2 linked regions of the Stegostoma tigrinum genome follow. The protein of the gene in region 2 purifies or fractionates together with the protein of the main gene of each other region. This does not show direct contact. Links are inferred from orthologs where the notes say so. Each region holds a gene or a part of one and is shown on either strand. Other genes may lie near its edges. The genes, in order: long-chain fatty acid transport protein 2-like and saal1.

The links.
Region 1: the proteins of saal1 (region 2) and long-chain fatty acid transport protein 2-like purify together in Homo sapiens (co-immunoprecipitation; 3 studies listed by BioGRID and IntAct, with this or other methods). This does not show direct contact. The link is inferred for Stegostoma tigrinum from reciprocal best matches to the Homo sapiens genes SAAL1 and SLC27A2.

Annotation. Positions count from the first base shown.
Region 1 is NC_081386.1:36,273,516-36,289,624, reverse strand, and holds the start of long-chain fatty acid transport protein 2-like, read right to left. Parts: upstream 8,017-16,109; 5' UTR 7,938-8,016; coding exon 7,463-7,937; intron 3,345-7,462; coding exon 3,141-3,344; intron 2,832-3,140; coding exon 2,673-2,831; intron 1-2,672. UniProt on the Homo sapiens protein: Mediates the import of long-chain fatty acids (LCFA) into the cell by facilitating their transport across cell membranes, playing an important role in hepatic fatty acid uptake.
Region 2 is NC_081370.1:16,716,490-16,732,817, forward strand, and holds the start of saal1 (protein saal1), read right to left. Parts: upstream 7,243-16,328; 5' UTR 7,045-7,242; intron 7,035-7,044; exon of another isoform or gene 6,900-7,034; intron 6,888-6,899; exon of another isoform or gene 6,593-6,887; intron 5,450-6,592; exon of another isoform or gene 5,447-5,449; 5' UTR 5,428-5,446; coding exon 5,293-5,427; intron 4,784-5,292; coding exon 4,670-4,783; intron 3,993-4,669; coding exon 3,909-3,992; intron 2,384-3,908; coding exon 2,304-2,383; intron 708-2,303; coding exon 648-707; intron 1-647. UniProt on the Homo sapiens protein: Plays a role in promoting the proliferation of synovial fibroblasts in response to pro-inflammatory stimuli.

The sequences.
Region 1 (16,109 bases), on a different chromosome or scaffold from region 2:
ATTCGCTGCTATCACCCCCATTCCTTTACTGGTTCCAAGGGCCTAGGTGCAGATGGTAATGAAGATACTTCCCCTGGGATGCTGGCCATTCCTATGGAGTGGGAGGACAGAGCAGAGAGTTAGGGCTCAGCAGGGATCCAAGCCACATCAAACAGAGGCTGGTCATCAATGAGTTAAACGATGGGGACGTGAACAAAGATTGAAGATACTGACCTCATCAGTGGGTAAACCCCTGGCCACCTCCGTAACAGAATCTTATCGAAGCAGTGGAGAGATCCACTTTCCCTCATCCCAATCAGGGACAAGGCCGCTGAAATGATAACGGAGGTGCCGGTGTTGGGCTGGGGTAGTCAAGGTCAAAAATTGCATGACACCAGGTTATAGTCCAACAGGTTAATTTGAAGACCCAAGCTTTTGAAGTCTCGCTTCTTTTTCAGGTGTCAGGATTGAGACTCCAAAAGCTTGTATATTCAAATTAACCTACTGGACAATGCTTTGGCACATTGTGTTCGAAAGGTTTATTCAAAATTTCTAGGCAAACATCCATAGCTTGGGGAGAGTGGGGGAGAGGGCAGAGTCGGGGAGAGGGCAGAGTGGGGCAAAAAAGTGGGAGAAGAAAGGGCGGAGAGCTTTTTTTTTAGTTTTACTTTGTTTTGGGGTAGTTCTGTAAAGTCTTTGAATGAAGATGGTTGTATATAGCAGTGCTCTTGAAAGTGGGAGAATATAGCAAAACTAGATTCCTTAGAGTAAGGAGTTAGTGATAGTAACAAATCAGAGTGTTGAGAAAAAGCCTTAACGAGGTTATTTAAAGTTAGGTATGTTTAAGTTTACATGTATGATGGCTCAAGGAAGAAGCTATCAACATTTCCCTTTCAGGAGTTAAGGTAATACTTACCTTAAGCCTCTGAAGGTGTTTAGGATTTTTTCTCTGGCATGAATACTGTAAAAAGGGTACTTTTCTGTATTGTACAAGGATTGTTTTGGAACTTGTAACAGTGTGTTTTGGGATTAATGGAATTATACTTTTACTGTGTGTTTAGACATCTTTGAATTTGTGTGACATTATCATTGGGTTTATTCTATTTCATCTTAATTTGTTTTGGTGAACAAACTTCTGCTTAATTGTTAAAACAAAATCTGCAAATTGCATGTTTATTTTTCATTAAGAGTTGACTTCATAAAACCAAAGCAAAACAAAAAAAATGATTGTGATCAAATGCGTCTCAGTCTGGGATTAAACATGTCGGTAACAAAATCAGCTGGAGCCAAGACCCCAAGGGGGCAGAGATCCTGCCCAGTGAGAGCTGCCAAATCAGTTAGAGGGTGGCACATGATGACCGCTACGGAGGCAGCTGTGGCTACTGCTGGCAGAGTGCTCCCAGAGTTCCAGCGTCACACACAGTGGGGAGTGATGACGGTGGGTTTGTACGAGGAGGGGTGGTGGGCAGGGGAGCTGGAAACAGGGGAAGAAGTTTGGCTCCCAGTGGGCACCCACTGCCCAATGTCCAGTTGCTCAATCACTGACTGCCTTAGGTCACCCCACCTCGAGGTGACAAGTTACCCCAAGGGTAGCAACTGTTGGGGAAACTGCAGAGTCACAGACCCTCCTGCAGATGGGTTAACCCCATCCATGCAGGCTCAGGCCTATAAGAGAAGAGATTCTTAATCAACCACTTAAGGGTCTCAAGAAGTGGCAGGGAACAGGCCTACTGTCCCGTCTGGATCGTCCTGCTGGAGGTTTGTAAGGCAGCAGGGAATGGGTGTACCACCACTGCGTTGAAGTATGTGCCTTCCCACCTCCAGAAACAGCAGGTCTCGACTCAATGTGCTGTGAACCACAGGAGTGTAACTCATTTGTTCAAACCTGTTTGGTACGGGAAAAAACTTTCAAGCAAACGTAAAAGGAAAGGACAGTATGATTTTTCAAAAAAGGTCAAGACCCACCAAAAAATTATTTTAAACAGTATTCATGCTCAACATTAACAGGTAGGTTTCAAAATGTAATGCTTTGGGAATTCTGCCACCTCCCCTATTCCAGCAGATGGGAAACTGGGAGAGCTGCCAGGGACGAATCCTTGAAGCCTTTCATATCCAGGATTGCCCCACTCTAATGCTGACATCACCCAGCAAATCTCATGGCCATTTCACACAATGTTCCAAATTCAGACAAGAAAATCTTTTCACATTCTCTCTCCAGTCCTGAACTGTCTGTCACTCTGTGGCTCGAGTTCTCTGGTTCCTCCCTTTTTTAGAAAGGTCTCTTGCAGTCTCTCTCAGGGTCTCTCTCTCTCTCCCTCCCTCTCTTGATGTGACACAGGCAGTTTGCTCTTTATTGTCTCTTTGTACTGAATTTCTTACAGTCTCTAGAACAGCTTTAATGAGATTATTCAAAAGGATTGAGTTTTTTCTGCATTCCAAAGGCCCACTGGCTAGTAAACAAACAAACAGAAGGAGAAATCTTCAACCCTGACCTCTGGATTTATTATTAACAAAATGCTGTACTTTAGACCAAAGGGCTTCACTTTTTTTCTCTGTGGTATCAAGAAGCTCATTTTAAACAGCTGAGGTGAAAAAGGAGGGAAGCAAAGAACAGAAAAGGAGTTGAGACCATCTCAAGGAAATGGAACAGGGTTAAAACCATAAAAGGAGCAAATTTAGATTCGGCAACCTACCTGCATAAATGCAGCCACAGATTCCAACCATGGAACCAGCACTGTGATAAAGAGGTAGAGTGGTATAAATCACATCATTACTGTAGATACCACAAGTTGCAATGAACGAAGCAAAAAGATGTGCTCGAGAGTGAGTGATGATGGCAGCTTTGGGCAAACCTTTAAACCCCAAAAATAAAAGAATCAAATCATAATACAGCCACCAATTGAATCCTCTGGTTCAGTGAAGAAACCATCACTACACAAACAGCTGGAACATGAAGCAATCCTAAAGATCCATCACACTGTGACATTAAAAATGATTTAATTATTTATCCTTTTGTTTAATCACTTCAAACACAGTCAATTTTTCACTGCTGTAGCAAAACTGTCCAAGTTTCAATGACACAAAATACCTAATAAGCATGTATTATTTACAAGATATAAGACAGAGAAACACTGGGCAGGTTCTAGAATAAGTAGAGATACCTGTTGTTCCGGAGGTATAGATATAAATAAAGGGGCTTTTGAAGGTAACGTGTGATCGGAGGGACAAAGGCAGTGGCTGGTCAGATGCAGCTTGAATTTCATCATTCCCAATGCTTTCTATGGTACATTCGTCATCCAAAATTAAAACAGTGACATTGTTCTCTCTTAAACTGGGCAGTACATCCTCCACTGAACACCTCAGGTCTGCAAAATACACAATAATCAATATTCACTGTGTACAGATCAGTATGTTTATAATGAGCCTATCCCAAACATGACAGGAAATATGATGCTCACAGAGTATACATCACAAACATATTCCAGCTATAATGCCTGCATACACCAAAAGTTTACTAAAATGTTTGAGTTTCTAATGATTGATTGAAAGGTTCACAACAAGATTTCTAAACAAATTCAGAGTAATGTTGACAAGGCACTTATAAAGGTCAGAAATGAGGATGTTCACTGATGATTGCACAATGTTCAGCAACATTCGCAACTCCACAGATATTGAAACAATCAAGACCTATACAATATCCAGGCTTGGGCTGACAAATGGTAAGTAACATTCATGCCACACACATGTCAAGCAATGACTATTACTAATAACAGTCTCCCCACCATCCCTTGACAGTCAATGGTGTTACCATCACTCAATCACTCTTTATAGGAAAGATGTGGATGCTTTGGAGAGGGTTCAGAGGAGGTTTACCAGGATGCTGCCTGGACTGGAGGGCTTATCTTATGAAGAGAGGTTGACTGAGCTCGGTCTCTTTTCATTGGAGAAAAGGAGGAGGAGAGGGGACCTAATTGAGGTATACAAGATAATGAGAGGCATAGATAGAGTCGATAGCCAGAGACTATTTCCCAGGGCAGAAATGGCTAGCACGAGGGGTCATAGTTTTAAGCTGGTTGGTGGAAAGTATAGAGGGGATGTCAGAGGCAGGTTCTTTACGCAGAGAGTTGTGAGAGCATGGAATGCGTTGCCAGCAGCAGTTGTGGAAGCAAGGTCATTGGGGTCATTTAAGAGACTGCTGGACATGCATATGGTCACAGAAATTTGAGGGTGCATCCATGAGGATCAATGGTCGGCACAACATTGTGGGCTGAAGGGCCTGTTCTGTGCTGTACTGTTCTATGTTCTATGTTCTAATCCCTCACTACAACATCCTTGGGGTTACGATCAACCAGAAGTCAATTCAGTTTGCCATATAAACAGAGTGACTGCAAGAACTGGTCAGCAACTAGGAATACTGTGATGAATAACTTCCCAAATCCGGTCCATACCTATAAAGGCACAAGTCAGGAGTGTGATGGAATACTCCCCACTTGCCTGGATGGATGCTGCTCCAATAACTCTCCAGAAGCTTGACACCATCTGGGACAAAGCTACCCACATGATTGGCATCACATCCATAAGTATCCACTCCCTCCACCACTGAAGCTCATTAACAGCAGTGCATGGTATCTGCAAGATGCACTGCAGAAGTTCACCAGGGATCCTTAGACAGCACCTTCCAAACACATGACCACTTCCAGCTAGAAGGACAAGGGCAGCAGGTACATGGGAACACTGCCTCCAAGCTACTCACCATCCTGACTTGGAAACATATCGCTGTTCCTTTAAGGGCATTATGGATCAACACACAGCAGGAGGACTGCAGCGGTTCAAGAAGGCAGCTCCCCTCCACCTTCTCAAGGGCAACTAGGGATGGGCAATATATGTTGCGCAGCGCGCAATGCCGACATCCCATAACCAAATTTTAACAATTAGAAGATAAAGTAGAGAAAAGTTTGCCCGTTGTGTTTTAGGGTCAGCAATGTGTGCGTCAGGGAGAGGTAGAGTGAGCCAGAATGTAGCCTCGCTTGGGTCTGACAGGGCCATGTTTCCCTTGTGATGATGTGGTCATCAGTTCATTCTGTAAGGAGTGGTGAGGAAAATGGAGACTGTGCTGATGGGAACAGGCAGGAACTGACTGTCCTGCTGTTACTGGACAGCTTTCATTCCTGGCAATATCCCAACACAGAAACACGCAAAGTAGGTGTGGGATGAGGCCTTTCGGCCCTTCGAGCCTGCTGCACCATTCAATATGGTCATGGCTGATCATGCAATCTATCCCACCATTCCCACTTTGTCTCCATACCCGTTGATCCCTTTAGCTGCAAGGCCCAATTCCCGCTCCCTCTTGAATATATCTGATGAATTGGCCCCAACAGCTTTGTGGGGTGAAGAATGCTGCAGGTTCGCAACTCTTCCTCTAAAACGCCTTCCACTGCCTTGTCTCCTCTCGGTCCACTGGTTCCCCTCCACTGACACTCTCATTTTCTTGGCTGAACTGGTCCTCACTCTCAACAATTTCTCCTTCGATTCCTCTCACTTCCAAACAACCCAGAGGGATGGCCATGGGCACCCACACGGGCCCCAGCTGTGCTGCCTCACTGTAGGATTTGTGGAACAGTCTCTCTTCGGCAACTACACCAGTAGCATCCCTCACCTCTTCCTCCACTACATTGGTGACTGCGTTGGTGCAGCCTCATCCTCCCACGAGGAGCTCAAGCAGTTTATCAACACACTCCACCCCACCCTCAAATTCACCTGGACCATTTCTGACACCTCCCCCCTCTTCCTGGACCCCTCCGCCACCATCTCTGGAAACTGACTCACCACCGACATCCATTTTAAACCTACTAACTCCTACAACTATCTCAACTATGCCTTCTCTCACACAACCTCCAGGAAAAATGCTATCCCAAACACCTAACTTCTCTGCCTCCACTCCCAGGATGAAGCATTCCACTCCAGGGCATCCCAGATATCCTCCTACCTTTGACACTGGAATTTCCCCTCCTCTGTAATTAAGGACACCCTCAACTGTATGTCTTCCATTTCCCACATGTCTGCCCTCAAACACCCTCACCCCAACTAGGGCAGAGTACCTTTAGTCCTCTCGTACCATCCTACCAACCTCTGAATCCAATGTATCATCCTCCAACACTACTGCCACTTATAATCAGACCCCACCACAAAAAAGATATTTCCTTCCCCACTCCTGTCCGCTTTCCACAAAGACAATTCAGTCTGTGACTGCCTTGTCAGCTCCACACTCTCCACCAACCCCTCAGCACACCCAGTACCTTTCCCTGCAACTGCAGGAGGTGCTACACCTGCCGCGACACCCCTCTTCTACCTGCAAGGGCCCAAACAATCCTTCTAAATCTGGCAAAGATTCACCTGCACTTCACCTAGCCCATCTACTGCACGCGTTGCTCCCGATGTGGTCTACTCTACGCCAGGGAGACCAAATGCAGACTTGGGGACCAGTTTGTCGAGCATCTGTGCTCTGCATGCACCAACCAACCTGACTTTCCAGTTACCAACCACTTTAACAGCCCCTTCCACTCCCCTGGTGACATGACCATCCTTGGCCTCCTCCACTGTCAGAGTGAGGCCAAACGTAATCTGGAGGAACAACACCTCATATTCCGCCTTTGGAGGTGATGCCCCAAAGGCCTGAATATTGACTTCACCAGCTTCAAAATCTCTCCTCCCCCAACCTTATCCCATATGCAGCCCTCCCGCTCCTGACCTAATCTGTCCGTCTTCCTACTCAGGTATTTACTCCACCCTTCCCACAGACCAATCACAATAACCCCTATCTGAATGCACCTATCACCATCTCGCCTACCCTTAGCACACACCACACCACCTCCCCTTCAATGCATTCCTGGGCTGCCTGCCCTGGTCCTGACCAAGGGCTTCAACTAGAAAAATGGTGATTTTTCTGTTTCTGGAATGCTGCCTGGCCTGCTGTGCTTTTCCAGCCTCACACCTATAGACTCTCACTTCCAGCATCTGCAGTTGTTATCATCTCTGAGTGAAGGAATTCATCTTCATCTCGGTCCTGAATGGCTTATTCTTTGACTGTGGCCCCCTAGTTGTGGGCTTCCCCAACATTGGGAACATTCTCCACATGTGTAGCCTGTTCAGTTCCATCAGGAGATTAGAAAACTCTATGAGATTCCCCCTCATTGTTCTAAATTCCAGGAAGTACAAGCCCAGTTGATCCAGTCCTGCCATCCCAGGAATCAGTCTGGTGAACCTTCGCTGGATTCCCTCAATAGCAAGAACGTCCTTCCTCAGACTAGGAGACTAGAACCACACACAACACTCAAGGAGCGACCTCACCAAGGCCCTGCATAACTGCAGCAAGAGCGAACCCACAGAGAAATGACTGCATTCTCTGTTTCACACCTAGAGACCCAGAGTTGCCAGCGGTTTGCTCGGACCTGGGAGCTGCTTTTACAATTTGAAAGTTCCTCACCTCCACCGACGATGAGCACTTGGGAGGCACAGCACTTGAAACAATGAAGCAGGGATTTGCCCTTGATGTTGAAGTTGAGGAAAGCCACAGGGCAGCCGAGTTTAGCGAGAGCCAACCAGACGGAGACAAACAGCGGAGTGTTGCTGAGGAGGATCGCTACACAGTGACCGCGCTGGAGCCCAGCCCGGCGCTGCACGATTCTCGCCACTTGGTTGCTCTGCCTGTCCAGCTCCGAGTAACTGAGAGTCCGGCCCTCAAACTGCACAAACGTTTTGTTTGGGGATTGTCTCACTCTCTGGAGGAACACATCCAGCAATGTGACCGGGGGCTGCTTCCTCTTGTAAATCATCACCCGTATGGCCAGTGTGACCGCTCGGTAGAAGTTTCTCAAATCGTGCCCCAGGTACGGGAACCAGGAGCGGAGCAGGAGGCCACTCAGCAGGAGGGCCAGAAGGAAGCCGAGGAGAACCTGCATTGTTGCCGGGTCGAGCGGGGCTCACAGCATCTGAAACTTCCCCAAACTGAGAACTAGCCGTCACCCTGGCGGCTCGCCTCCAGGAGGCGGGAGATTCCTGCTGGGGGCTGGGTGCAGGGAGGGAAACCGGGCACTCCCTCCCACAGCCTCACTGACCCTGCTCCCCAACACAATTCCTGCATTTGCACCGAATCAGCATTAACCTGGGAAATACAGACCCTCTACATTTACACAGCATGGCCACTCGGCCCGTCTGTGCACTGCTGCTCCAGGTTCCACACAAGACCCTCCCGTTCCCCTTCATCTCAGCCAATCAATATCTGTGCGAGATAAAGTGTGGAGCTGGATGAACACAGCAGGCCAAGCAGCATCAGAGGATGAGGAAGGCTGACGGTTCGGGCCTAGACCCTTCTTCAGAAAAGGGAGATGGGGGAGAGGATTCTGAAATAAATAGGGAGAGAGGGGGAGGCGGACTGAAGATGGATAGAGGAGAAGATGGGTGAGGAGGTAGGGAGGGGACAGGTCAGTCCGGGAGGAGGGACAGGTCAAGGAGGCGGGATGAGGTGGTAGGTTAGAAATGGAGGTGCAGCTTGAGGTGGGAGGAAGGGATGGTTGAGAGGAAGAACAGGATAGGGAAGCAGAGACAGGCTGGGCCGGTTTTGGGCTGCAGTGGGGGGACGGGACGAGCTGGGCTGATTTTGGGATGCGGTGGGGGAAGGGGAGATTTTGAAGCTGGTGAAGTCCACATTGATACCATTGGGTTGCAGGGTTCCCAAGCGGAATATGAGTTGCTGTTCCTGCAACCTTCGGGTGGCATCATTGTGGCACTGCAGGAGGCCCATGATGGACATGTCATTTAAAGAATGGGAGGGGGAGTGGAAATGGTTTGCGACTGGGAGGTGCAGTTGTTTATTGCGAACCGAGTGGAGGTGTTCTGCAAAGCGGTCCCCAAGCCTCGGCTTGGTTTCCCATGTGTAGAGGAAGCCACACCGGGGTACAGTGGATACAGTATACCACATTGGCAGATGTGCAGGTGAACCTCTGCTTAATATGGAATGTCATCTTGGGGCCTGGGATAGGGGTGAGGGAGGAGGTGTGGGGGCAAGTGTAGCACTTCCTGCAGTTGCAGGGGAAGGTGCCGGGTGTGGTGGGGTTGGAGGGCAGTGTGGACCAGACAAGGGAGTCACGGAGAGAGTGGTCTCTCTGGAAGGCAGACAAGGGTGGGGATGGAAAAATGTCTTTGGTGGTGGGGTCGGATTGTAGATGGCGGAAGTGTCAGACGATGATGCGTTGTATCCGGAGGTTGGTAGGGTGGTGTGTGAGAACGAGGGGGATCCTCTTTTGGTTGTTATTGTGGGGACGGGGTGTGAGGGATGTGTTGCAGGAAACGTGGGAGACACAGTCGAGCACGTTCTCGACCACTGTGGAGGGGGCAGGGAGTTGCGGTCCTTGAAAAACGAGGACATCTGGGATGTACAGGAGTGGAATGCCTCATCCTGGGAGCAGATGCAGCGGAGGTGAAGGAATTGGGAATAGGGGATGGCATTTTTGCAGGAAGGTGGGTGGGAGGAGGTGTATTCTAGGTAGCTGTCGGTGGGCTTGAAATGGACATCAGTTTCCAGGTGGATGCCTGAGAATCCCCTATTCCCAATTCCTTCGCCTCCGCTGCATCTGCTCCCAGGATGAGGCATTCCACTCCCGCACATCCCAGATGTCCAAGTTCTTCAAGGACCGCAACTTTTCCCCCCACAGTGTTCGAGAACGCCTTTGACCGCGTCTCCCGCATTTCCCGCAACACATCCCTCACACCCCGCCCACGCCACAACCGCCCAAAGAGGATCCCCCTCGTTCTCACGTACCACCCCACCAACCTCTGGATACAATGCATCATCCTCCGACACTTCCGCCATCTACAATTCGACCCCACCACCCAAGACATTTTTCCATCCCCACCCTTGTCTGCTTTCCGGAGAGACCACTCTCTCCGTGACTCCCTTGTCCGCTCCACACTCCCCTCCAACCCCACCACACCCGGCACCTTCCCCCGCAACCGCAGGAAGTGTTACACTTGCCCCCACACCTCCTCCCTCAACCCCATCCCAGGCACCCAAGATGACTTTCCACATCAAGCAGATGCTCACCTGCACATCTGCCAATGTGGTATACTGCATCCGCTGAACCAGGTGTGGCTTCCTCTACATTGGGGAAACCAAGCAGAGGCTTGGGGACTGCTTTGCAGAACACCTCCGCTCAGTTCGCAACAAACAACTGCACCTCCCATTCGCAAACCATTTTAACTCCCCCTCCCATTCCTTAGACGACATGTCCATCCTGGGCCTCTTGCAGTGCCACAATGATGCCACCCGAAGGTTGCAGGAACAGCAACTCATATTCCGCTTGGGAACCCTGCAGCCCAATGGTATCAATGTGGATTTCACAAGCTTCAAAATTTCCCCTCCCCCTACCGCATCCCAAAACGAGCTCAGATCGTCCCCGCCTCTCCAACGTGTCCTTCCTCTCACCTATTCCCTCCTCCCACCTCAAGCCGCACCCCCATTTCCTACCTACTAACCTCATCCCACCCCCTTGACCTGTCTGTCCTCCCTAGACTGACCTATCCCCTCCCCTCCCCACCTAAACTCACCTTTACTGGCTCCATCCCCACCTCTTTGACCTGTCTGTCTCCTCTCCACCTATCTTTTCCTTTATCCATCTTTGATCCGCCTCCCCATCTCTCCCTATTTATTTCAGCACCCCCTTCCCTTCCCCCATTTCTGATGAAGGGTCTAGGCCTGAAACGTCAGCTTTCCTGCTCCTCTGATGCTGCCTGGCCTGCTGTGTTCATCCAGTTCTACACCTTGTTATCTCAGATTCTCCAGCATCGCCAGTTCTTATTATCTCTGATACAATAACTTCGTGATTTGGAAGTCACTGATGTGGTACGGTTAGCTCAGGATCACAGTATCACACAGTCTCTGACTGGCAATGAACCCAGCCAGGCCCAGAACAAACACATTACAACCAAATCCAGACAATATTCCATTCTGAAAATATCAACCCAAAACATTAACTCTGCTCCTCTCTCCACAGGTGCTCCCAGACCTGCTGAGTCTCTCCGGTACTGGGTTTTTACTTCCGATTTCTACTGTTATATCTTTAGGGGGATATCTTGCCCACCTAATAAATTTGGGATCAATCTCCGAGTCCAGCAAGTTTCGCAAACCAACACAAATGAAGCAGAATCAGAACCACATCCGGCCTCTTTGTTTGTGTCCGCTTTTTCACAGAGTGATCTAACTTATCCCACCGCCTTGTTTCTGTTAATTATTTCTCCTTTAACTAAGTCAAAAGTCACACAACATCACGTTATAATCCTGAAGAAGGGTCCTGACCTGAAACGTCAGCTTTCCTGCTCCCCTGATGCTGCTTGGCCTGCTGTGTTCATCCAGCTCTACACCTTGTTATCTCATTGTAGTCCAATAGGTTCATATAAAATCAGAAGCTCTTGAGCACTGCTCCTTGGTGAGGTGAAGTGGGTACAGGCTCACAGGCACAACATAACAGAAGAGAGAGAATGGCAAGATAATACATTTCATTCATCCTTTCAGTTGTTATATAGCCCCATCAACTCTATTCACACTATTTGTACCCTCCTAACTGTCCGGAATTACACACACACACACACACACACACACACACACACACACACACACACAAATAAATCTATAGGGTGAATTTGCATTGGCAGATTTGTAATTACAGGTACATTCTATTTTGTTCAAAATCACACAATTTGTAGACAGTCAATGCTGTATTTTATAAATTGCTACTTTGCAAATAAAACTAACCTGATTCCAAGTTGATACACAGCCAGATTCTACACAGGCCTCACACCTAAAATGCATTGTCTGACCTGGGATGTCATCTCTGGTATACACTGATCAAACCTTTAGATATCTCAGGGCAATGACTTGAAAGAAATTCTGGGATTTGCATATTAATCCTTGCTAACTGATTGAAGATTTAACAACCATTTTAGGTTTGTTCAATACATTTGCATCGGTTCTATGACCCTTTAATCTTTCGCTTATAAATTCTGCATCTGATGCCACCTGTCCCACTGACACCTGGAGAAGGAGTGAGACTCCAAAAGCTTATGTTTTCAAATAAATCTCTTGGACTATAACCTGGCACCACAGGATTTTGACCTCGTCCACCCCAGTCCAACACCGGCTCCTTCGCATCATGGCTTCCCTTTAACCAGTGACCCAATTCCACATGAATCTGTAGCAAACACAGAAATTTCTGGAAAAACTCAACAGGTCAGTGGAGAGAAAGAAAAGTTAAGGTTTTGGGTCCAGTGACCCTTGTTCAGAAGTGATGGAAAAGAATGGTAATTATGCTGAAGTTGGGGTGGGGTATGGGGAGAGAAGTAAACAGTACAGGGAGATGGACCCCAGAGAGAGAGAGAGAGAGACAGCGAAACAGTTGGGCACACAAAGGATCAGATAAAGGTCAGCCTGAGAGAATGAACAGATGCAAATGGGGAGCATTAGTGACTGACAATAGGTTGTGAGAGATTAGATTTAGATTTAGATTTTATTGTCACATGTACTCAAGTACAGCAGTACAGGAATACAATGAAAAGTGTATAACATCACCACAAACAGCACCAATACAAACATAACTAAGTACCAAAAACTGAGGTACAAGAAACAAAGTTAAAAAGTTAAGAGATAATGGGAACTGCAGATGCTCGAGAATCCGAGATAATAAAATGTGAGGCTGGATGAACACAGCAGGCCAAGCAGCATCTCAGGAGCACAAAAGCTGACGTTTCGGGCCTAGACCCTAACCCTTTTTTCTGATGAAGGGTCTAGGCCCGAAACGTCAGCTTTTGTGCTCCTGAGATGCTGCTTGGCCTGCTGTGTTCATCCAGCCTCACATTTTGTTATCTTAAAAAGTTAAGCATTATTTGTCAACTTATTCTTTGAAAGTAAAGAAATAAGGCTACAGTAAATATTAAAGCCCTTCTTAATAGAAACTAGAAAAACAAAGGAATAAAGTTAAAGGTTCTGCAGTCTTGATTGAGTCCTCTGATTTTCTCACTATCTGGGAGACCTCAGCTGTTTGTTCTCAATGCCACTGCTGCTGATACCAGAGGAGCTTCGTTACACTCAATCATCCTCCGTTGGGCCACGATGCTATCACTGCTGCTGACGCTGCCAACTCTCCAAACTCTCCCGGGTGCCTTCCGAACACCCCTGGGCAGGACCCACTTGCACACTGAGTCACTGGCACACAGGCCGGGAGGACATCGTGGGACAGGCCAAGAGACCACCATGGGGACAGGCCGGGAGGGCACCACGGGGACAGGCCGGGAGGACATCATGCGACAGGCCAAGAGACCACCACGGAACAGGCCAGGAGGGCACTACGGGGACAGGCCGGGAGGGCACCTCACTGGGTCTCCACTGAGGTCAGGACAGAAGAAAAGAAGAAAGGAGAAAGAAGAAAGAAAAAAAAGAGAAAGAAATGGGCAGAGCAGACAGGCTCTGCTGAAGCATCCTTCACCACCATCTTGGAAACGGTAGCAGCCCGTGTCATGACAAGGCCTGGTTTGTGGGGCTTGGGGTCAGGACATGGGAGAAGATGCTCAGACCCTGAAGTTATTGAACTCAATATGAAGTCCGGAGAGCTGCAGGGTCCCCAAGTGAAAAATGAGGTACTGTTCTTCCAGCTTGGCACTGAGCTAAAAAAAAACCCAAAAACCGAAAGAATTGCGGATGCTGTAAATCAGGAACAAAAAACTGCTCAGCAGGTTTGGCAGCATCTGTGAGGGAAAACCAGAGTCAATGTTTCGGGTCTGGTGACCCTTCCTCAGGTTGTGTTGTTGTTGTCATTGGCGCTGAGCTTCGCTGGAACACTGCAGCAAGCCCAAGACAGAGATGCCAGCCAGGGAATTGGTGCTGTGTTAAAGGACAGCGAACTGGATGCTCATGGTCTGTTTTGTGGACAGAACGTAGATGTTCTGCTACGTGGTCACCCAGTCTGTGCTTCATTTCCCCAACGTACAGGAGACCACAGCGAATACAGTATACTAGAGTGAGTGAAGTGCTTCACCTGGAAGGTGTGTTTGGGATGTTGGATAGTGAAAGGGGAGGAAGTACATGGGAAGGCACTACACATTCTGCAGTTGCAGGGAAAGGTGCCATGCAGCTGTGGGAGGTGGGTGTTGGCAGCGGAGGAGGTGTGGACCAGGGTGTCTTTGAGGGAATGGTCCCTGCAGAAGGTGGACAAGGGACGAGAGGGGAATATGTGTCTGGTAGTGGCATCCTACTGAAGGTGGCAGGAATGGCGGCTAATGATCCTCTGGATGGTAGGTAAGGACAAGGGGTTCCCTATCACAGTTGCAGCAAGCAAGAGAGGGGGGTGAAGGCCAAGCTGCAGGAGATAGTCTGAACTTGGCTCAGGTTCTGTCAACCATGGAGCTGGGGAATCCTCAGCTGAGGAAGAAGATGGACGTTTCAAAGGCTCCCTTGTCAAAGTTGGCATGATCAGAACAGATGCAACAGAGATGGAGGAACTGGGAGAATGGAATAGAGGAAGTGGGGCATGAGGATGTATCATTAAAGGTAACTGTGGGAGTCGGTAGGTTTATACTGGTTAGTAATGAACATTCTATCCCCAGAAATGGAAACAGATGTCAAGGAAGGGAAGGGGTGAGTCAGGTAAAGGTGAGAGTTAGGTGGAAATTGGAAGTGAAATTGATAAACTTTTCCAATTCCAGATGAGAGGCGGAAGCAGCACCGATGATGTCATTGATGTTTTGGAGAAAGAGTTGAGGGTGGGATCCCAAGTAGGATTGCAACAAGCAACGTTCCACATACCCCACAAAGAGACAGGCATAACTGGGCTCATCCCATGCCTACCCCTCTGACCCAAAGAAAACAAGAGGAGTTAAAAGAGAAGTTGTTCAGAGAGAGGATGAGCTCAGCCAAGTGGAAGAGGATGGTGGGGGGTAGGGATGGTGCAAGTCCTTTTTCCCCAGGAAATGGAGAGCCCCGAGACCAACCTTTCAAAAATCTTGGCAATTTTAGTTAATTTTCAAGTCTCCCTTTACATTTCTCAGCTCTAAGGAGAACAATCCCAGCTTCTCCACAGAACTGAAGTCTCTCATCTCAGGACCATTCTATTAAAACTCCATAGCACTCTCTCCAAGGCCTCAGCCTCCTTTCTAAAGAATGATGCCTGCAATCAAACACAATAACCATCTGCAAAGCCCTGACAGTCTTTTATATAAGTTTAGCCAAATGCACTTACTCAGTACCTTCTGCGTCAGTTAATACAGCCATCATCTTCTGAACTTACTTTGTCACTTTCAAAGATCTTATTTATCTGTAGCAGGAACTTGTATTGTCTCAGTTTATTTTCCTTCTCTGCATTAACATTTCATCTGCTGTGTGTCTGTGCATTTCACTAGTATCTGTCCTCCTGAAGTCTGTTACTGTTCTCCTCACTGTGTACAAAATTTCCAAATGCTGATGTGAACAAACTGATGAAATAGAGCAGACTTAGACCATCCAGCAACCCAGGCTTGCTCCTTTCAGTAAGACTATAGTTGAATTGTTTGTGTTGAGTTCCACGTTCCCAACTGTACCCGAATACCTTTGATTTCCCTGCCTAAAAGACATTCAGTGACCCAGTTGGATACAAAATTTGCTTGAAGGTAGGAGACAGAGGATGTTGGAGGAGTGTTACATGGAACATAGGACATTACAGCGCAGTACAAGACCTTCGGCCCTCGATGTTGCACTGACCTGTGAAACCAACCTGAAGCCCATCTAACCTACACTGTTCCATTATCATCCATATGTTTATCCAATGACCATTTAAATGGCCTTAAAGTTGGCAAGTCTACTACTGTTGCAGGCAGGGCATTCCACGCCCTTACTACTCTCTGAGTAAAAAACCTGCCTCTGACATCTGTCCTATATCTGTCACCCCTCAATTTAAAGCTAAGTCCCCTCGTGCTAACCATCACCATCCGAGGAAAAAGTCTCTCACCGTCCACCCTATCTAATCCTCTGATCTTCTTGTATGTCTCTATTAAGTTGCCTCTTAACCTCCACCTCTCTAACAAAAACAGCCTCAAGTCCTTCAGCCTTTCTC
Region 2 (16,328 bases):
TCAGATGTTCTGTGACAATTTACAACCAATTCCAGACCAATAAATATACTGCCAACTAGAATCAGATGATGCATCTCATCCATACTGACAAATGGCTCATTTCAGAGTCAGACAGCATAGCATAAACACAAAACAAGTTAGATAAAAATAACATTAAATGAACAAAATCAGTCAGCATCTGAAAAAGAAAGACAGGTTAACACTTGTATTAGGACGGTGTTGACGTGTCCCATTCAAAACACTGACCACACTCAGATACACCGACTGATTGGCTGCACATTTCCGGATGTCAAACTTCATATCGCATCCAGGAACATAAATCAGAAGCAAACGCAGCAATGTAATGTCGCCACATTAGCTCCAAACTTTCAAGTAAGTCACTCACTATTTTAACTTGAATCTATCTTGCTGTTCCTTCATCATTGCTGAGGCCAAAGCTTAGCATTGCTTCCCTAACAGAATCACAGTAGTACTTTCATAAAAGGACTATGGCAGTTTCCAAAGAAGATCCATTACCAACATAATAAAATTTCATCATATTAGATTTTCCTTATATTGTCGTTAATTCATGAAGTCATTTAGCTAAAAAGTAATCAAGTATTATGTGACCTTCATAAATCTAGTACACATGGTATTCAAAATGCTACCTGCTCGTTTCCAAAAGAGTAGGTGGGTCAGAATCTCCTAGCAGCAATAGCAAAACGTCACTATGGAATAGGGAAGAAAACAAGATGATCAGCAAAACAGCCAATTATTCCAAGAAACACCTCAAAACCCAACAAACCTTATAACATTTACTCCCTAAATTCTTCCCTATTCTCTTCCTCGTCATCTCTTGCCGACATAGAAACCCTACAGGAAGCAGCTAGTCAGCCCATCAAGTCCATACCGACTGTCCAAAGAGCATCCAATGCAGATCCACCCTCCCCTGCACCACCCTATAGCCCTGCATTTCCCCAGGCTAATCCACCCAACATACACATCTTTGGACAGAGGGGGAAAACTGGAGCACTTGAGGGAAACACATGCAAACAGGGGGGAGAATGTGCAAACTCCACACAGATAGTTGCCCAAGGGTCAAATCAAACCTGGGTCCCTGGCACTGTGAGGCTGCAGTGCTAACCACAGAGCCACTATTCCACCCAACATAATTTTCTTAAGACAATTATAATAATCACAGCCTTTTTAAAAGAACTACCACACGGAAACTATAAAAAAGAATAAAATCCCAAAATTCTTCTTTCACATCTTTTAGATTCAATAAATTATACTGCTTCCCTCCTTATTCAATATCTTATAGTCTGCAGCTAAAAAGACTAGCTGTTTGCTGAAATACATCTTCAAATAAAATGAGGATTTCTAGTGAAAGTTGGAAAACAGCTTGATTCTTAAATATCAATCACTGATTGTATGGAACATTTGCTTTGATATATATGATGAAAATACAAAATATATCCTAAAAGATGCAAATTCTAGAACTACAGCTTCAAAAAAACGCACATTCCTCATCTTAGAGCTAATTCACTCCATCACATATCCCCATCTAGCTGCTTCATAAATACTTACTTAAATATTGCTAGGTGTTGAAAGGCAAAATTGATGCCACAATAAACTCATGGATCTACAGCTGGAGTAAAACTGCACACAGTCTCAGAGGCAAATGTTGTCTCCACCTACAGAGATACCTCAAAAGTTTCCACACATGTAGCACAAACATCATGCACTGAAACACTGCTAATTTTTAGTACTGGGAATCTTCATACACCTGAACACTTTGGGTGTTTCATACTACGCTGGTGCTATTGAATCACAGTACCAAGGTTACACTGGATTTACTTCTTGGGTCTGACATGCCAGAGTACCTTCTGTTTGGTATTTCAAATAAAAAACTGGCTGAGTTTACTGGTAAAATGATTCTATCCAGAGATCAAGGGGCCTTTTTGGTGATAAACTGAATACAGCAAGTAGGTTTACAGAGTTCTATATGCCACTTGCAAAATTTCATTAACTCTGGCGCCATTATTAGAGGTTACAGAGGGGATTGTTTCTTTGATGTAAGATAAAGCCCCTGGTAACTTAAAATATCAATTATGGTTTGCCCAGCTCATGCTCCATATACTGGAGAGCTGAGGACAACAACAAAAGAGAAAAATTCTAAGCTGTGAGCTTATCTTTAATTCATTTTTAATGCCAGTTTTTGTAAAAACCTATTGCACCAACAATATTCAATAAGGACAGGACTTAATGTTTTTACTGGTTATCTATTGAAGAATGTGCAGCATGGGTTGTATACGAATACTCACACGAGATTATTGTTGTTACTGATTGCCCGACAGGTCTCACTGTAACAAGCCATATTTCCCAGGATACCAACACAAATTTCCTAACCTCGATAAAGAAGAGACTTTATTCAGCAATTACAGACCACTGCCACAGAAAGAAAATGGAATGAGGAATGAGCAATTATCTGAAGATCACTCCTTCCTCACACCATTTACACACTATCCCAGTAATAATTCTGCATCATTTAATTTCCTACAGAAAAGTACCATCTTAAACCATACTCCCCACGTCCCATCTCCAGCAGCATAGAGAACAGTATTCTCTACAGAATGTAAGCATAACTATTCAGCTCATTTATTGAGTTAATCGTACATTTTAACACAGTTTTAGGAAACGTGAGCACCAATTTAGGAAGCAACAAAACACTGAAAGATTTTGGAGAGTAATGGTAGGCTGGAGATGGGACCATACTTTGCAACGGCAGTGGGGTCAAGAATTTTGTTTTTAAGGATGATGATGACAGATCTAGAGAACAGAGACTGAACAATTTTCAATATTGATCATTACGGCGATCGGGAGGAGAAATTGGGCAGTTAGCAGCTTAGAAGGAATAAGGGAGTAAGAAGTGGACTGTAGGTTGGGTTGAAGTTGAAAAGGACCTGAAGAGATAGGAGAGAAAAAGGAGGTATATGCAAGTTCAAGGTGGGGACAAAAGGGAATTTTGAGGAAGTTTGGCCTGGTGAAATGGAAGGGGGCAGCAGCAACTGTTCAGACGGTTTTAAAATCAGTGACAAAAGATGCCCATGAACTCCATGCATTTATTGTTGCAGTCAAGGAAATGGGGTGACGGGTTTAAAAAGAACTCAAGAGGTAAAAGCTTTCATTTCACGAACATCCTAGAATAGTGATTAACCTAACATCCAGCCATACTCACACTAACTAGCTAAATCAGTTGTGCATTTTATCCTTTCAAGTCTACATCCTTTGGACTTAGGAGAGATAGGGTATCTACCAGGAGAACCAGCATAAGAGACAGTAATTGGTTTATTGGGGATGAGAGTATCGCAGCTAGAGGGGAGCGTGCAGGTGAGCAGATCAGTACTTGCAGAAATGTGGTGAGAAAAACCTTTTTCAGAGTGTAATGCACTTCCTTATAACCAATATTCTAAAGTTGCTGTCCTGTATAACGATTTCCCAAAGAAATGAAGGCTAAGTAACTGGGAAAGATATTCAGCTTACTTCTGCAGAAATCATCCAGACAGCTGATTTCATTACAACAGTACAACTTGGTTTCCTTCTGATCCTTTTCAGTAAGAAATTGCTGTTTGTCCAACAGCCATTTATCCAGACATAGGCCAGTAAGAGGGAAACCATATCTCATTAACAACCAGGTGCATACCATGCCCAATGGCAAAAAGGCATTGCAAAATGGATACTGGGAAATTACTACAAACTGAGTATAATTGTCATGGGTGATATTCTAAGATTAGACACTATGCCGGAGAAGTCTGATTACCAGGTCTCTCACGCTCCAACAACAATAAGGATTGAGGGCACCATACAACAGTCTGGACAGGAACATATTACATTGCAAATAACCCTCACTTACTACAAGTTTCACCCACCGTTAGTCGGGGACACTTGGATTTACCAATGATCCCCAACAAGATGTCTGTAGCATTGAATTCCTGAAGAAACACAGCAACGTCCTACAGTACAAAACACAAAGCTTAGTCATTAAGTAACAGTGACATGCATCTGAGTCAGGGTACATTACCCAAACATCTTACATTGACAGGAACAGCCATCATTTATCTCTTAAGGTTAAGAACCTAGCCCTTTAAGCTGCATGGTTAATGATACCAAAATTGCTGCATTTCAAACAGGCATAGACCACTTACAACTCAGCATATACATCAATCCCTTCCACAGTACAGTCCGCAAAGCTATGATTGGAAAACAAAATGTTCACACTATCACTTAATCTCACAGTGTCTTTTCAGTGTAGAGCTGCTCTGACAGTTCAATGTACTGTGCTATAGTAAAAGAGAAAAATTAATTGATTCGTGAATTCACCACAGAAGTCACTCATTTTACTTAAACCTCTCTCAGTGAAATGAAGCAACAGTAAAATAAGTCAGAATATCAAATTAAGAGATGATCATATTTATCTCCAAAGCTAGACATTAGTTCATCTTCCTCTCTCACTGCAGAGATTGATTTTTGAGTCAGGGAAGGGAATTTAAAGACAGAACAGTGAAGAGCAAAGAGATTTGGAGACTTGGAATATAGGTATGATATTCCTTCTAGACACATCAGTCACTTACATTCAATCAGACAGCAATCACCATCACATTCAAGGGTCTCCATAGAACTCCATGATTACCTCATCCATTGACATGTCCCACATTTTACAGATCTCATTCTCCAGATCCTCATCCAGCTCTGTTTCTTTTCTGGAATCTAACTCTTCCACCTCTTCACCTTCTGGAGAGACAAGCTGAGAAAGTGAAGTGGTTAATATATTTTTTTGTTTTCTGGCCTTTGTAAACTGTTGTTGTGCATACTTTTTCTTGCTACATACCCCAGTAAAATCCGTAGTTATAATACAAGTTCTGTGCTTGGAGTTACAAAAATCATGATGTTTTTTGATATGGATATGATTGACAGTGTATGCCCTCAATGGCCTTGTCATGCTTCCGATTAACAGGTTGATCAAATAATATGGGTGTTCAGCATGAAGCCAATTCAGTCAGACAGCCCTTTTACTTAAGGGCTACTTGACACTGCTGACATTCTCCATCTACCCTACCCCCGCATCATTTTAAGTGAAATTAGGTGGTGCAGCGCAGACCAATTATAGCTAACTCATAATTTATAGGTTGAGTCAGGTTTGATTAATTATTGCCTTCTGAGGAATCAACAAGCCCTAATGAAACTGATCAAATCTGCATTCTTATTTCAAAATAGGACCTACGTTTTTGTATACATACAGAATGTAAACGTTACCTCAATCAGCCTCATGAGCGTGGTGAACAACCAGTGCTTACTGTACACTGTGTTCCCAATTGCATCAACTCTGGTTGTCTCATCACTGCTTTCATCACTTGGTGGTGGGGATGGGTTGCGATCCATCCCAGCCATTCAGAATGCTTGAACAACGCTACTTTGGGAAGCACAGGAACACTGCATTAATGCAACAGGAGAGGTCCATGGAGAAGAACAGACACTGTATGCACACAGGTCATACAGGAAATGTAATTACACACTGCTGCAATTTAACCAATTAAAACTACACAGTTTAATAAACTACTTTCCAGGGTAAATAAGAGCTTGACACCATCCAGGACAAAGCAGCTTGTTTAATTGACAGCCCATCCACAAACATCCACTGCCTCACAGTAACAGTAGTGCATACTTTTACAAAGTGCACTGCAGAAAATCATCAAGGCTCCTTAGGCACCTTCCAAACTGTCCACCACTACCAACTAGAAGGACAAAGGCAGCAGAAACACAGGAATACCATCACCTGCAGTTACCTCCAAGCCACTCACCATCCTAACTCAGACATATATCGCCAAACCTTCAGTGTTGTCAAAACCACAGAAATCCCTCGTTAACAGCATTGAGGGGCTTCTTGAACCAAATGATCTGCAGTGCATTAAGAAGGCAGCTCACCACATCTCAAAGACAACTAGGGATGGACAATAAATGGTGGTCGAGGGAGCAAAGGCTGCATTCTATGAATGATTTTTTATAAAATGTGGGAAGAATCCCAGTCCTTAGTGAAACATCAACCCCTTCAGGTTCCAGAAGTAAACCGGAGTGATTGCTAAATCATTAACTTAATAATTTAGATCTGCTTGGCTTCTGAACTCACCATATTTTCCAAAACAGATTAATATAGTCCCAAACTTTCAATGACAGCCATGTCACCTTGTACTCAGCTCAAATATCGACAGAGATCTCACTTATTTCTATCCCCACTTCAGGATGGGAACGTGATTAGTTGAATTATTGGTTTCGCTAAGTTTCGAGTCTAGATGAGCTCTAAACAGGAGTCATCTAGTCTCAAAACGTTACCTTGCTTTTCTTGCATGGATGCTGCCTGACCTGCTATGATTTCCAGCTTTTTTTGTTTTCAGGACAGATTCCAGCATCTGCAGTAATTTGCTCCTGAATTACTGGTATAGTTGCATTAAAAGAATTGACAGGCAGAAGTCAGAGATCCTAGGGATCTTAGGTGTACAACCAGAGCGTCAAAGCTTTGGGAGAGCAACAAAATGTGTGCCAAATACTAAGCTCCCACCTGTAAAGAAGAGTTAACATTTCAGGTCTGTGGCTATTTATCATACTACAAAACCTGAAACGTTAAGTCTGTTCCTCTCTTCTTGATGCTGCCGGAGTTGCAGAACATGTCCAGACTTTTTTCTTTCGAGTTCCAACATCCAGTTTATTTTGTGCGCTCCTTACGAGAAGGCGGGTACAGATCTAAGTGATTGTGATAAACAGGTTCTGAGTAAAGGGAGAGCTGTGCTAATCACACTAAAGTACACAGGGGACACTCATAACTATCTCAACCAGACAAGTACATGAGTGAATACCGACAGACTCACTCTTTGCAGCAACTGCTTTTCTCTCCCAGGTTCAGGTTCTCTTATTCACAAAGCAAAGTGAAATTTTAATTCATCATTACTCCAACAACCCGTGCCTAAACCCACGCGTCTATTCTCAGCACAACCGAAACAGCACAGGCCTTACAAATCGCTCGATCCCATCCTACACACCGCCTCCTTCCGACTGGGAGTCTGTTCACAACCCGCCCGCTCACAGCGCCTCCCTCCGGCTGGGAGTCTGTTCACACTCGCCCATCACAGCGCCACCCTCCGCTGGCAGTCTGTTCACACACACCTCACCCGCCCATTTCGCAGTTCCACCCTCCGACTGGGAGGCTTGGGGACCGCTTTGCAGAACACCTCCGCTCAGTTCGCAACAAACAACTGCACCTCCCAGTCGCAAACCATTTCCACTCCCCCTCCCATTCTCTTGATGACATGTCCATCATGGGCCTCCTGCACTGCCACAATGATGCCACCCGAAGGTTGCAGGAACAGCAACTCATATTCCGCCTGGGAACCCTGCAGCCATATGGTATCAATGTGGACTTCACCAGTTTCAAAATCTCCCCTTCCCCCACTGCATCCCTCAACCAGCCCAGTTCATCCCCTCCCCCCACTGCACCACACAACCAGCCCAGCTCTTCCCCTCTACCCACTGCATCCCAAAACCAGTCCAACCTGTCTCTGCCTCCCTAACCGGTTCTTCCTCTCACCCATCCCTTCCTCCCACCCCAAGCCGCACCCCCAGCTACCTACTAACCTCATCCCACCTCCTTGACCTGTCCGTCTTCCCTGGACTGACCTATCCCCTCCCTACCTCCCCACCTACACCCTCTCCACCTATCTTCTTTACTCTCCATCTTCGGTCCGCCTCCCCCTCTCTCCCTATTTATTCCAGTTCCCTCCCCCCATCCCCCTCTCTGATGAAGGGTCTAGGCCCGAAACGTCAGCTTTTGTGCTCCTGAGATGCTGCTTGGCCTGCTGTGTTCATCCAGCCTCACATTTTATTATCTTGGAATCTCCAGCATCTGCAGTTCCTATTATCTCCGACTGGGAGTCTGTTCACACTCGCCCTCTCACAGCGCCACCCTCCGGCTGGGAGTCTGTTCACAATTTTGTTACACATTGTGCCTCTGCAATGATGAAACCTTTAGTTTTCAGGATCGGGACTTGGAAGGATTTCGGGAATTTACACATACATATTAATCAATTAAAACCTTTAACTAACTAAAGATTTAACCCTTAGGTTTGTTTAGTACATCCTCATAAATGGTGTGATTATTTGATCTTTTACTTTTAAATTCTGTATATGATACTACCTCTCACTAACATCAGAAGAAAGACTGAGGCTCCGAAAGCTTGTCTTTTCAAGTGAATCTGTTGGGCGAGAAAACCTGGTCTTGTGTGACTTCTGACCTGGCACACTTTCATTTGCAGTGGTATATACAGATGCAACCTTGCAATTCTTTACTTTGAGCTTTTCATTTGGTTTCTTCTTCAGTAACCATTTGCTGGTTCCAGAAATCTCACAATTATGTCCAACTATTTCTTAAAAGCAGACTGGCGTGCTGCCTCTTGCTGACTCTGTTATGCATAATTCTGTTCAAAACACAGCAGGTTCTTATTGTAATTTTAGATAACAAAGTGTGGAGCTGGATGAACACAGCAAGCCAAGCAGCATGCATTTCCATAAGGCAGATCAATTACAAGCTCATCACCAAACTCATCTCCACCTATCTGGACTCCATTTTCTCCCCTTTGGTCCAGGAACTCCGCACCTACGTCCGTGACACCACCCACGCCCTCCACCTCCTCCAGGACTTCCAATTCCCTGGCCCCCAACACCTCATATTCACCATGGACGTCCAGTTCCTGTACACCCGCATTCCGCATGCAGATGGCCTCAAGGCCCTCCGCTTCTTCCTGTCCCGCAGACCCGACCAGTCCCCCTCCACCGACACTCTCATCCGCCTAGCTGAACTCGTCCTCACACTCAACAACTTCTCTTTTGACTCCTCCCACTTCCTACAGACTAAGGGGGTGGCCATGGGCACCCGCATGGGCCCCAGCTATGCTTGCCTCTGTAGATTACGTGGAACAGTCCCTCTTCCGCACCTACACAGGCCCCAAACCCCACCTCTTCCTCCGGTACATTGATGACTGTATCGGCGCCGCCTCTTGCTCCCCAGAGGAGCTCGAACAGTTCATCCACTTCACCAACACCTTCCACCCCAACCTTCAGTTCACCTGGGCCATCTCCAGCACATCCCTCACCTTCCTGGACCTCTCGGTCTCCATCTCAGGCAACCAGCTTGTAACTGATGTCCATTTCAAGCCCACCGACTCCCACAGCTACCTAGAATACACCTCCTCCCACCCACCCTCCTGCAAAAATTCCATCCCCTATTCCCAATTCCTCCGCCTCCGCCGCATCTGCTCCCACGATAAGACATTCCACTCCCGTACATCCCAGATGTCCAAGTTCTTTAAGGGCCGCAACTTTCCCCCCACAGTGATTGAGAACACCCTTGACCGCGTCTCCCGCATTTCCCGCAACACATCCCTCACACCCCGCCCGCGCCACAACCGCCCTAAGAGGATCCCCCTCGTTCTCACACACCACCCTACCAACCTCCGGATACAACGCATCATCCTCCGACACTTTCGCCATTTACAATTCGACCCCACCACCCAAGACATTTTTCCATCCCCACCCCTGTCTGCTTTCCGGAGAGACCACTCTCTCCGTGACTCCCTTGTTCGCTCCACACTGCCCTCCAACCCCACCACACCCGGCACCTTCCCCTGCAACCGCAGGAAATGCTACACTTGCCCCCACACCTCCTCCCTCACCCCTATCCCAGGCCCCAAGATGACATTCCACATTGGCAGATGTGCAGGTGAACCTCTGCTTAATGTGGTATACTGCATCCATTGTACCCGGTGCGGCTTCCTCTACATTGGGGAAACCAAGCGGAGGCTTGGAGACCGCTTTGCAGAACACCTCCGCTCAGTTCGCAACAAACAACTGCAACTCCCAGTCGCAAACCATTTCCACTCACCCTCCCATTCTCTAGATGACATGTCCATCATGGGCCTCCTGCACTGCCACAATGATGCCACCTGAAGGTTGCAGGAACAGCAACTCATATTCCGCCTGGGAACCCTGCAGCCTAATGGTATCAACGTGGACTTCACCAGTTTCAAAATCTCCCCTTCCCCTACTGCATCCCTAAACCAGCCCAGTTCGTCCCCTCCCCCCACTGCACCACACAACCAGCCCAGCTCTTCCCCCCCACCCACTGCATCCCAAAACCAGTCCAACCTGTCTCTGCCTCCCTAACCGGTTCTTCCTCTCACCCATCCCTTCCTCCCACCCCAAGCCGCACCCCCAGCTACCTACTAACCTCATCCCACCTCCTTGACCTGTCCGTCTTCCCTGGACTGACCTATCCCCTCCCTACCTCCCCACCTATACTCTCTCCACCTATCTTCTTTACTCTCCATCTTCGGTCCGCCTCCCCCTCTCTCCCTATTTATTCCAGTTCCCTCTCCCCATCCCCCTCTCTGATGAAGGGTCCAGGCCCGAAACGTCAGCTTTTGTGCTCCTGAGATGCTGCTTGGCCTGCTGTGTTCATCCAGCCTCACATTTTATTATCAATTACAAGCTCCACAGTTCCGTATCCTGTAGCAATGGCAGCAGTTTGTACAGTGTAGAAGAAATTTTGACCCAGATTGTTGAAAACATGCTTATTTGGCGCAAACTAGCTCTCTCAGTTCTAAGCAGTTGGAACCCTCTCTTGGCTATGCATAATATATCCAGCATGTGCTGAATTCCACATCCGTTTTAAATTGAGGCCAAGTTCAAAATCTGCACAAATGCGTAGGATTTTATGCTCTCAACTTCTTAGATTCAGTTCCTCATTTCATTTGAATTGTCGCTGTTTGTTTTTACACATCTGATTACTTTGAAAATAATTTGTGTAATTCAATAATAAGTTTTTGGCAGAGAATTTCAGGTCTATTTATTTTCCAGAGTCCCATTAATTATTTCCCTGACCGACATGTGTTTTATTATCGTCTCATTATCATTTTCAATTTCCCTACTCCTCCACTTCTAGATGTCACATACAATATCACATGGTTTAGTTGGTTGTTGGTGTAAATGGAAATAAAACCTCCAGCCCTACTCTGGCCAAACCAATCTCATTGAAACAACTTGTGCTTTGAACACAAAATGTGGCATAAATGAGATAGAAAGGATTAAGGGGATGAAGGAAGGAATGAAATCAAACAGTTATGACAGCATTGGATTCGGTGGAGGGAGGGAGGTGATGAGGATTAAGGTATAAATAGAACAATTGTTCTTTTGAACTGAAAATTATAAAGGCAAGATGGAGATGGAGAAGCAACCAACTACATCAGGTTGTAGACTTGTTCACCCAGCTGGTGTCAGAGATAATGGGAACTGCAGATGCTGGAGAATTCCAAGATAATAAAATGTGAGGCTGGATGAACACAGTAGGCCAAGCAGCATCTCAGAAGCACAAAAGCTGACGTTTCGGGCCTAGACCCTTCATCAGATGAAGGGTCTAGGCCCGAAACTTCAGCTTTTGTGCTCCTGAGATGCTGCTTGGCCTGCTGTGTTCATCCAGCCTCACATTTTATCACCCAGTTGGTGTATTTTGTTGCAGACATTTTGTCACCCTGCTGGGTAACATTGTCAGTGTGTCTCAGGTGAAGCATTGGTGTTCTGTCCCATGTTATTTATTCGCCTTGGTTTGCTGGAGTGGTTAGTATCACTTCCGGCTCTGTTTTTCAGTGGTTCGTATAATCGGGTACAGATCAATGTGTTTGTTGACGGAATTCCAGTTGGAATGCCAGGTATCCAAGAATTCCCTGCCATGACTCTGTTTGGCTCATGCTATTATGGATGTGTTGTCGCAGTCAAATTCATATCCTTTCTTGTCCATGTGTATCCATATTGTCAGTTTTCTTCCAGTTTGGCCGATGTAATGTTTTTCACAGTCTTTGCATGGTATTTTGTATATTACGTTAGTTTTATTGGTTGTGGGTACAGGATCCTTAACGTTCATCTCTGGAGGCACACTGACAATGCTATGGTGATGAAATGTCTGTAATCAAACACACTAGCTCAGTGAGCAAGTCTACAACCTCATCCACAACCCCAGCTACAAATCTTCACAAAAACTTTCACCTACAACATCAGTTAGTATAAGGGTAAGGTCATCAGTAAGAAGCAACTGAACTGGAAAAAGAAATGAAACTGTGAGAAAACAGTTATGGTTTGTACAGTGGTACAGAGGGTGGGCTTTGAAGTATCTAGAATGAGTCAAGCATCATGTACATGGGGAAGACTTGAATAATCACCTGCTCTTTACCTGTTCATCAATTTGATGTCAGTGATGTGGATTTAGGCTCCAATGAATACAATTCTAACCAATTCAATCTCTCCTCATACGTCAGTTGCACCATCCCAGGAGTCAATCTGGTAAACCTTCACTGCACTCTATAGCAAGAACATTCTTCCTCAGGAAAGGACATCAAAACTGTACACAATATTCCAGTATGGCTTCACCAATGCACTGTATCATTCCAGCAAGACATCTTTGTTCCTGTACTCAAACCCTCTGGCTATGAAGGCCAACATACAGTTTGCTAGTTTTACTGACTGCTGCACATAGAACATAAAGCGCAGTACAGGCCCTTCGGCCCTCGATGTTGTGCCAACCTGTGAAACCAATCTGAAGCCAACCTAACCTACACTATTCCGTTATCATCCATATGTTTATCCAATTACCATTTAAATGCCCTTGAAGTTGTCGAGTCTAGTACTGTTGCAGGCAGGGCATTCCACACTCTTTCTACTCTGAGTAAAGAATCTCTGTCATCTGTCCTATATCTATCACCCCTCTTTTTAAACATATGTCCCTTCGTGCTAGCTATCTCCATTCAAGGAAAAAGGCTCTCACTGTCCACCCTATCTAATCCTCTGATCATCTTGTATGTCTCTCTTAAGTCACCTCTTAACCTTCTTCTAACAAAAACAGCCTCAAGTCCCTCAGCCTTTCCTCATAAGACCTTCCCTCCATACCAGGCAACATCCTGGTAAATCTCCTCTGCAACCTTTCCAATGCTTCCACATCCTTCCTATAATGCGGCGACCAGAACTGTACACAATACTCCAAGTGCGGCTGCACCAGAGTTTTGTACAGATGCAACATGACCTAACGGCTCCGAAACTCAATCCCTCTACCAATAAAACCTAACACACCGTGTGCCTTCTTAACAACCCTATCAACCTGGGTTGCAACTTTCAGTAATCTATGCATGTGGACACCAAGATCCCTCTGCTCGTCCACACTACCAAGAATCTTACCATTAGCCCAGTACTTCGCACATGCACACTTACTTTCAGCAACTAGTTCATGAGGACAGCCAGGTCTCTCAATTTACAGCCCAACAACTATCTGCCTTCCTACTTTCACCATATTAGCCAGTAAAGTCACAGACTTCTTGTGTAATGAAAGTTGATGTTAAGACTCAGTTTGTTTCGAGCAAAAGACCTTTAGCACTGGTTATTTAAATTGCTACTTTTGAAACTCAGTACTGCCTACAGTGAACCAATCCTCTAAGTTGTTGTGAGGTAGTTAAGTTGACAGAAGGTCCTGCAAAGATTTTTTGATCTGACAATGGAAACCATGATTTTTGCTTAAATCTGGGAATGAAAGTGGCAGACAATGTGTGGTGGCCCAACCTAGGGTTCCTTCCAGACATAATGAAACAACTGAGCACACTGAATTGTGATCTGCAGGGAAAGGACAGATCAATGTTATGAATAGATTCAACTAGGTCTATGATCCTTCAAAATAAAGAACAAAATGGTGCAACACTTCCTACACTTGAAGAAAATGGCAAAGAAAAATGGTTTTACCAAAAAATGCCTGTGCATACCTGAGGAAGATAGCAGGGGAACTCGGACAATTTCAGGAATTATATATAAGAATCATATAGCATGGAAACAGATCCTTTATCTGTGCCCAACATAATCCTAAACTAAACTAGTCACATCTTACTGCTCTTGACCCATATCCCTCCAAGCCTTTTCTATTCATGTACTTTTCCAAATGTCTTTCAAATGTTGTAGCTGTACCCACATCCAACCCTTCCTCAGGAAGTTAATTTCCATGCAAACCACCTTCTGTGCAAAATATTTACCCCCATGTCTTTTTTAAATCTTTCTCCTCTCACCTTAAAAAATGTGGTCTTGAAATCTCCCATCCCATGGAAAAGACACCACTAACTCTATCTATACCCCTTATTATTTTGTAAATTTCTAAAAGGTGGCCTCTCAACCTCCCATGAAAAAAGTTCCAGTCTATATCTGTAACTCAAATCTTCTGCACCCAGCAACATCCTGGTAAATTCTCTTCTAAACCCTCTCCAGTTTAGTAATATCCCGCCTATAACTAGGTGACCAGAACTAGACACAGTATTCCAGAAGAGGCCTCACCAATGTCCTGCACAACCTCAACATGACTTTCCAACTTCTATACTCAAAGGACTGAGCAATGAAGACAAATGTGCCAAATGCCTTTTTAACCACCTATCTACACATGATGCAAACTTCAAAAGAATTATGTACCTGAACATCTTGCTCTACAACTCAGTCCCTCTGCTCTACAACACTACCCAAAGCCCAATGATAGAACAAATCATTATGTTTGTCTCAAATCTATTCCTTCAAGTGATCTGGCTACCATATTTTATCAGGTCTTTGCTTTACAAAGCAGTGGACTTGGATACAGAGATAATTGTAATGAAAAACCGTATTAATCTGAAAATCAGATCAAGGAACAGGGCTTCGAAAACAGAGGAAAATATTCATTCTTACCATTCAGTGCTTTTGAAATAAAGGTTTACTTTCACTACATATCTCTGTGAGACAATGATCTTCAATTGGGGAAAATGCTAAGTTAAAGCATTGCACCAACCTTGTAGATATTCATTTGGTGAAATGTGAATGACTAGCGGTCTCAAACTACAGCCCAAACGTCAAGACTCTCGCAGCTAATGTGCAGTTACTGGTGTCACACTGAAACTTGGTGAGTTGAGGGCATAATGAATAATTATATGCACTTGGTTTTAGATTCATATTGCGTTTTAAAAACTGTTCATTCTACACTTCCTTGGAGGTAGATCCTGGGTCGCACTTATTTTCAAAAGTGATCTTCTGCTTTGAAAGGTCAGTGGCCACTGAATCAGATCATGGATGACCTGCAGTTAAAGCCCATTTATCTGCCTTTGCTCCCTAAACTCTCACTGCCTTGAAAATTCAAATTAAACTAGCATCCAGGGTCTTTTGGGAAAGAGAAAGAAAAAATGCTTCCTGATCCCACTCTTAAATGTCCCAGCTCTACATATTAAGAGTACATCCTCTTTTTCGAAATTACCTCACCAGTGGAAATGCTACTTCTGGATGAAATCTATCAAATCACAATTTTGATGTCCCCAAATAGATCATCTCTCAACCTTTTAAAATCTGGACAGTACAATCTAAGTGTATGCAAGCTGTTCTTTAAATGTAACTATATCATCTGTTGAATTTACACAGCAATGTTTTCAAAGCTAATATTTCTTTCCAAGGGCGATTACATAAAACTGAATGCAGTACTCCAGACATTTTGATCAAGTTTCTCGAAGACAATTAATGATGGGTGACATGGTGTCTCAGTGATTAGCACTGCTGCCTCACAGTGCCAGGGATCCAGGTTCAATTCCATCCTCCGGCAACTGTCTGTGTAGATTTCCTCTGGGTCCTCCCACAGTCCAAAGATGTGCAGGTTAGGTGGATTGGCCATGCTAAATTGTCCACAGTGTCCAGAGATGTGCAGGCTAAGTGGATTAGCAATGGCAAATGCAGGGTTACAGGGATAGGATGGGATTCCTCTTCAGTGTCAGTTTGGACTTGATGGGCCAAATGTCCTGCTTCACTATAGGGATTCTATTCCATGGAAATGCTCAGCTTGCCAGCAATATTATCATCCCACAAATGAAAAACAGCACACACTTGGCATCAAATCAGAGGTTAGAAGGTTTATTCAAAAGTCTGACAACTTTCCTCTCTCAGATGAAGAAAGCATATTTGTGCTATGGGCAATTAGTCAGTGTTTATGGCAACTGCTGTCAAGCAAACACAGTGTCCCAACATACAATACACCTGGCACACAAGGACAAGACTTTGAACCCAGTGAACAGATAGTCTAGTCTTCTACTAGTTATTAAGTAGAAGGCACAGGTAAACGGTTATATTCTTGTACAAGTCCCTTTACCAGGCATGCAATAGGGTTTGATTCAGCCATTGCACCAAACCTCTCAGAAATTAGCTCTACCAAAATATCAATG